2 linked regions of the Nothobranchius furzeri genome follow. The protein of the gene in region 2 purifies or fractionates together with the protein of the main gene of each other region. This does not show direct contact. Links are inferred from orthologs where the notes say so. Each region holds a gene or a part of one and is shown on either strand. Other genes may lie near its edges. The genes, in order: timmdc1 and acad9.

Region 1 (3,925 bases), on a different chromosome or scaffold from region 2:
ACAAAATGATCGGATCCTTTTCTGACCTTCCCCACCTACAAAGTTTAATTACAACAATGAAACGTGACAGAGCCTGGATTTGTATTCTGAACAGTCTAAACATGTTTTAAAAAGAAACGTATGACAAAAGTGGCACCTGCTCAGTAAAACCACCAACAGGGTGAAAAATATCTAAATATTGTAGGCAGAGACGGGCTACAACTTCTGGATCCACTTTATATAAATCGTTTTATTGATTATCGTCTTATGTAAGAGAACTTTGACGTACACGAGCGACCGGCACCGACTGCTGTCACCTGTTGTGAGCAGCTCTCTGCTGTCTGAGGGTAGGCCCCGCCCACAACGCCGTGGCTCCCAGTGTTTTCTTTACTGTGGGAAACGGGTAATAATGGCTCTTTGATGGGAACAGGTTGCCGACCCCTGGTCTATGTCTATGCAGGACAATAAAGTTTGGAGGTTTTACAATTATTTCTGGGGGCAGAGTTGCAATGACATGCGCACTGCGTTGCTCTAGCTCCAATTTAAAACAGAAAAGGTGGACAAGGATACAGGGCCAATATTACCAGTAATCAAAGATGTACCCGTTACATTTAAATCAGATGGCTGGGCTAATTTCAGTTTTGGGATCCTGGATGTGAAAGAATCACTTAATACAGTATTTGTTTACTATTTTTAAGTTCAGTAATATTCTATCTTAAAGCTGCTCTACCGAAAACATTATTTCTTATATTATTTAAGTAATTATAGGCAGCACACTTTAAACATTATTGCTCACTATAGTGAATAGATGAATGTTATGTTTTTCAGGGATTTCGAAATCAAAAAGAAACTGAAAACTATTCTACTGCTTTTATTAAGTAAAGAAAATTTTTGCATGAAGAATCGTGATGCATTTCAGACTCAGATCAAATCTTTAGGCAGATAATCGGAATCGGATCGAATCGTGAGGCAGGTAGAGATGCACACCACTAGTGCTCACTCCCAAGGCCCTAAGTGTGTGTTTGCGTGGAACGTCGTTGGTGGAAGTGTATAAGGTGCAAATAAAATTGGGGGGCAGGTTGCCACAGGAATGCGGAAATGGGGTCCATACCCACACTCCCTGACTTGACCACCCCCCAAGGTCCTATGTGCATGTTTGTGTGATGATGTGAGGGAGCAGGAGGAGAGAAATGTGTGGGGATGGGGAGGAACGGCTGGTTGGGCTTAGCCCTCCAGGAAGCCAGCTCCCCCACTGGCCCCAATAGGCACCTCTGCTGCCAAAATGCCACCCAGGGCATGGAGACACCAGCCCATCCTGCCAGGGCCCAAAGCAGCAGCATCACAGAGCCTCACGGAGTCCGAGGGCACCAACCCAGCAGAATATCTACGCCCATCCATGCATTTGCACAACTTCCGCATTATAAATGACATAGGACATCCAGGTAAGGTTGGGTCCTCCCCCTCCTGGACCCCCCCCCCACTGATGGGGCAGCAGAGGAGCCAAGGTCTACCTGAGGCCCCTGAACCCGAGTCAGACACTGCTGCATGTTCCTGCCTTCTCCCCGGCAGCATACATGACAGGTTTATTTGAACAAAAATAAGAAAACAAGTCTTGAAACAGCCGTTATTCAAGACACATTTCTTACATTTGTATCGCCTTTAAGGGAACCCTGTTTATTCTATAATACCTAAGGCTGGACTAAGTGAATGAAAACACTGCTATTAGCAGCATTTGTGCAGATGAAATTGGAATTATACACAAAAGGTTACAAAAAAAATCAAACCAAAAGGGCTGACGCACCTTAAAGTAGACTTAATAACCTTTAAAGTTGAACACCTGCCTCTAATGTCCAGGTTTTAGCAGGTTAACAGTAAAAACTGCAGCACTAAATATGTTTAAATGAGTATCTGTGTATTTTAAAATCACAAAATAGCTCTTTATTTGAATTTTTTTTAGTAACAAGTATGTTTATAGTAAGCTGTATGTTTATAGTAAGCTAAGCTTATCAGATGTTAGCAACAATTAGCATGTTAGCTAGGCTAACAGCTACTTACCAGCAACGAGCGTTCAGTTACTCGTCAACAGTGACGTGTCGGTCTAACTGAGTAAAGCGGTTCGGTTAAATATTATTTATAAATGACAAAACTTTTATCATCATGCATGCCCTTTACATGTCCATTCTGTCCAGGACCAACAGACTGCAGCGGCTAATGACATCTGACCGCATTGCGGCTGCGCGAACATTGGAGAGCTAGCGCCCCCGGTGGTCAGGAGGATAAATGGTTCTAAATTTTCCAAGTAAAAACGTTTGCTTGGGCCTTTTGAGTCCATTTCTGCCACTGTGATAGAAAAATAAACTATTTCTTGAATTGAAACTTTGAGGTACTTATTTAGTAGTATTATCACATAAACATGAATTAGGAATTTCTTTTTCATCAGTTGTGAAAATGTGTCCATACTTTTTAAATTTACTTGTGTAAAGCAACTTAATTGCAGAAATTTGTGTAATTTTTATTTATTGTAGAGCAGACTGTGTAAACAAGCGTAATAGTTAAAAAAATAATGTTGACTGCAATTTTACAATGTTTATTCTCCAAACACCATGGAAAACTACAGTATGTACAAAAACAAGCATAGATACAAAATCTGAGTAAAGGGTAAACAGTGAAATTGTAAATCCATATTAATTATAAAAACACATTGCAGAATTCGTGTTTAATGGTTTTACTGTAATAAGAAAACTTCAGATATCAAACTAAAACTTGATCGCAGCTTTATTTGTTCAAAATCAGGAACACAGATGTGGCTAATATTTGTAAAAAACTAGTGGGAACCTCGTGGTTGACAGGATAACGTGAATACTACAACATATTCAACTTAATCCTGCTTTTACCCTCAACTCCTTTATTTAATACAGTAAACTTAAGTGACACAAGTTTCTTTGAAACTAGAGTAAAAACAAACACATAGATCTAAAATTATTGCTCGTTATTAGCACTTTGTGTCAACATTTGAACATCCTAAAGTCTTATTCTGTAACAGACTAAACATTCAGCTGCAGTTGTACAGTAGGAGGCGGTGTGTGACATCTTTATTAGATTTCTGTGGTTTAATGGTCATAAAAACTGATTTATTCACATAAGCAACCAAATATAGTAAATAAATGACAATAAAACTCAATACTGTGATGTAGGAAGTTCCCATGATGCACCCTGACAGCCTCATTGGTCTAGTTCACCTTTCTTTGAGTATGTGGTAGCTCCCCCTAATGAAGAAACAGCAGCATCTGAAGTCTTTTCTCACCTAAAACTATCTCTATCTAGGTTTTGGCATCGGTGAGGACACGGTGCCGAGTCCCTCACAGCTCGGCTCTGTTGGGTTTCTGGATGATCTGCTTGTAGCTGCTCTTCCTGCTGGGTTTGTAGGCGAGAAGCCGGCTGAACTCTGTGAGGAGTCTCTCCCAGTAGCAGGAGACGTCCTCCATCCGCAGGTGACGAAGGATGAAGTCCTTACCTCTGTGGGGAGGAACAGACACAGAACTCGGTTTTGACGTGTCTAGAAAACGTGTTTCTCTCACAGTTCACTCGTCCGTTACCTTTCGGCGATCTCCTGAGCGACGGCGTCGTTCTCTTTGACGAACTGCAGGAGCTCTCTGGGGACAGGAGGACACGAAGACTCTCAATCACGTCCCTACAAAGAGACACGTTAGAAGAAGGTGGCTGACGTACCTGACATTGGACAGGTCCTGTTGGACGGGGACGTAGTGCACCCAGGGCTTCAGCTGAGGGTAGAAGAACTCCTGCCACGTGTCTCCCACGTGGAAAACCAGCGAGCCACAGAGGAAGAGATGCTTGAGGCGGAAACTCGCCGCCACGCCGCGGAAGTTAAACAAATACCTGCAGGAGACAAAAACGGTCACACGGAGTTTAAGCTCCTCCCTTTAGG
Region 2 (3,825 bases):
CTGGACCAGTTTAGCTCCAGGCAGACTGCCTCAGGAAGAGGGCTGAAAAGACATCCGGTTGCGTGCGGGAAAATCCAAGGCTATCTAAATGAGAACACTTCCAAACTGGTCCAGGCGGAGGTGAGGTGATCCTCTCTTTCCAGTCAGTTCACGAGTCTCCAGAAGAACAAAAACATGAATGCAAGTCAACGGGGCTAAAAGAGCTATTTTTAAATCTGCTTTCCCTTAAGCCCTGAATCGCACATATGTTGTACTTAAATTTAAATGAAAAGTAATGTGTATTTCAACCACGCCAGTCACGTACTTTGAGATTTATCGGCTTGTAAAAATTCATAATTAGCATGTCTACAAATCAATCGTTGGTACGTCGCATATATGAAGTCACCACAAAATCTCCTCTCCCCTAGCGTAGCTGCCACATGACCAGATTTATGATGGTTATTTCTCCCCGAAAGCAGGGTTTGAATTTCGCTGAACTTACAACCATAATGGACATTCATGTCAACCAGGTAGTTAAGACCTGTTATTACCACCTGAGGCGTCTCTCTAAAGTTAAGCCCATTTTAAAAAGGCGTCATCTTCATTCAGTTGTCCATGCATTTATTGCTTCCCGTCTCGACTACTCTAACTCAGTGCTGTACGGTATCTCCTCCTCCACTCTCGCTCGACTTCAGCTTGTGCAGAACGCAGCAGCTCGTTTCTTGACTGGCACCAGGCAGCGGGAACACATCACTCCGGTTTTAGCAAATCTCCATTGGCTCCCCATCCATCTCCGGATAGAGTTTAAGATCCTGGTTTTTGTGTTTAAATCCCTAAATAACTTAGCACCTGGCTACTTGTCTGAGCTCATTCACCCATATGTCCCTACAAGATCTCTCCGCTCAGCTGACCAACACCTCCTACATGTCCCTAGCTCTCGCTGTAAGTCCCGCGGGGAGCGCGCCTTTTCAGTTTGTGCACCGAAGCTCTGGAACCACTTGCCCCTCCCGATCAGACTCTCTTCCTCTCTTTCCCTTTTTAAGTCTCGTTTAAAAACTCACTTTTATTCTCTGGCTTTTAATTCTGTCTAACTTATTCCCTTTCTACCTTTCCTTTTAGGGTTGGATTACTTGATTTTAATGGATTTAGTTTTTATTTTTGATTGTTTTTATTGTGTGTTTTGTTCAGCACTTTGGTCGGCTCTCATGCCGTGTTTAAATGTGCTATATAAATAAAATTGGTATGGTATGGTATAATGACCTTCTTTGTGTCTGGTTCGATGACGTCATATTGGTGATGCGCATTTGTAGTCCTGGTTGCATTTTCACAGAAAACCTAAAATAATGTTTCCCCTTGTTCGAAAATAAGCAATAATTTTTAATTCTTCTGGTGACCCATGTTCCGGAAGTAGACAGGCGTGACTTAGGCTCCCTATAAGACTCCAAATCATGCCGTCTGAAGCTTACCTCTGAGGTGGCTTACTTCTAGTTCCTGAAACAGGCACATCTGAGCTTATTTCCCCCCAAAGTACAACTTATAAGGCATTCATTCCTACTAGAGACCACTGCACGTGTATTTAAACATGAGTACAGTTGACCTTGAAAGAGTAAGTCATCCCCAAATGAACTTTTCTTTGCTGATAAACTGTATAAATAAGTCAATGTCTAATAGAGCTGTAGACACTTGTAGTCATTATTTTTGTGTTTTAGTTAATCTTAAGAATTTAGATTTTCTGCCTAAAACCGTCAAGAGTGACTTGTTACTCCAGAGTTTTTCAGCTGGCATCTGACAAAACTACCACTACATATCCCTGTGACTGTAATGTGCCAACCCGCTACAACGAGTTCTCCCACTAGAAAAGTTGTAAAAGAAAACCACCCAAACTGTGCAGAATAGAGCCGAGCCAAGTCAAGCCACAATGAGTAGTGGAAAAGGCCTTATAGACACATACTTTACTTTCCTAGTGAGGACATTCCCAGCATGCTGCATTCCAGTCAGAGCAATGTACATCCTCAGGATCTCATTGGTTCCCTGGACACAAACAATACATTCAGAACAATTTTTTCTCTCAAGGATGGGCTCAACAAAACTTTTATCAGCACATTTGGTAGGATAGTTTTAGGGGTAATTTCATTCAAAGGTTGTGCTTCACTGAGAAAAACTATCACAGACTAACTTTTGAAGTTATAGTCCTGCTAAAGGGTACAGTGTTTTCCTTCTATTGGCTTTACCCTGGCGCTGTGTAACAGATATAATGGGTTTGTGTCACTTTAAGACTTTGTTGGTTGCAAAGGAATGATGTCATAATCCAGCAACAACCTTTTATCCTGGGTGTTTCTCAATGCCTTGCCTTGATATCTTGGCCCCGCCCCAGTTGCCTAGGAGATACGTCATCGGGAGCCGCCAACACGTGTTCCAATTTTCATGTTCTACTGAGGGGTGTGTTCTCCGTTTGTTAGCCGTTTAGCTAGCTGAGCGAGGATACACGGGAGGTGTCTTCTTGTAGCCTAGCCTTGGTCAAAAATCACCCATAACACACCGCAGTATTTTCAAAAGGACGGCGGATCAGAAGCCGGCAGCGACTTTGGGGGCAAATTTCAAGTTTAAAAGTAACGGTTGGATCTAAAATGACGACTTTAGTCGTCATTGGCAGTGAGTGAGTTAATTGTTGGCGTGGACTTTATGACTCTCAATTCATTGACAACACATGTACCCTCCAGAACTGTTATCATGGGCGACAATCCCTCATGTTCCTTCTTTACAATGTAAGTTTGCGTCTTATGTGCATTGCAGCCCCCCCCCACCCCCCACCCCCGTTTCTCACAACTCTGGACCTCGCTCGAGGTTACTGGCAGGTGCCCATTGCCAGTGATGCTAAATCAAAAACAATTCCCCATGCCGCTGCCTTTTTTGTGAAGATCTCTATGTTCTTTTGTAGAAGTTTTCTAATGCTCTGGGATATGATGCTGCAAGTATGAACTTTTCCTTCTCGTTTGCTCGACAATGTACTGGGAAGCATCCTGTCTGCTCATTGGTCAATCAATGAAACCTTCACTGATTGGTCCTTGTCCGAGCGACAGCAACGAAAAGTTGTCATTTTTCTTCATTCTGGGATCACGTCGCTGGCTCGCCTATGCACGACACATGCACAAGTGCAAAAGAAAATCTGAGTGGTGGCTGCAACTCAGTTTCCATATAATTTCTGTTGAAAACATTTAAGTTTCACCAGTACATTAGAAAAAAATGTCTTTTAGCTGCTAGAACATTCCAATGTGGATCTCACTAGTTTATCCAGTACCTCAAAGATGGGCAGGATGCGACAGTCCCTGAGGTAGCGCTCAAATGGATAGTTCTTGGTATAACCCAGCCCTCCCAGAACCTGCAGAGCTTCACTGCAGCAGACCCAGCCTCCCTCGGAGCTGAACACCTGCAGAGGACAGACAAGACACTGTAAGAACAGTTGTCTCACACTAGTTTCATATGAAGATAAAATATCAAAGCAATCTAACCTTCACCATGGCAGCCTCGAGGGAACACTCTGGTACTCCTGGTCTGTCCATCATCCCAGCTGTCAGGTATGCCATGCTTTCCATCACAAAGGCATTAATGGCCATCAGTGCAAACTTCTCCTACAGGATCAAAACAAACTCTTCACACATTTCTAACACAACCATTCACTGAACACATTCCACTCAGAGGTAACTCCCCTACCTGGATCAAACCAAACTCACTCAGACTTCTATTAAACTGTTTCCTGGTTGCAGCGTATTCTGAAGTCAGCTCTGTGGAAAAACAGTTGTTACTAGCCTGCAGCCATGATCATTCACTAAGTTATCAAAGTCAACA

What was found.
Region 1: the proteins of acad9 (region 2) and timmdc1 purify together in Homo sapiens (affinity purification with mass spectrometry; 3 studies listed by BioGRID and IntAct, counting the BioPlex papers as one, with this or other methods). This does not show direct contact. The link is inferred for Nothobranchius furzeri from reciprocal best matches to the Homo sapiens genes ACAD9 and TIMMDC1.

The regions. Positions count from the first base shown.
Region 1 is NC_091754.1:55,555,915-55,559,839, forward strand, and holds the start of timmdc1 (complex I assembly factor TIMMDC1, mitochondrial), read right to left. Parts: upstream 2,176-3,925; 5' UTR 2,035-2,175; intron 1-2,034. Other genes in the region: poglut1 (protein O-glucosyltransferase 1), read right to left, coding at 3,339-3,495, 3,576-3,632, 3,709-3,876.
Region 2 is NC_091743.1:6,045,057-6,048,881, reverse strand, and holds part of acad9 (complex I assembly factor ACAD9, mitochondrial), read right to left. Parts: intron 3,762-3,825; coding exon 3,691-3,761; intron 3,609-3,690; coding exon 3,489-3,608; intron 3,407-3,488; coding exon 3,278-3,406; intron 2,011-3,277; coding exon 1,931-2,010; intron 1-1,930. UniProt on the Homo sapiens protein: As part of the MCIA complex, primarily participates in the assembly of the mitochondrial complex I and therefore plays a role in oxidative phosphorylation.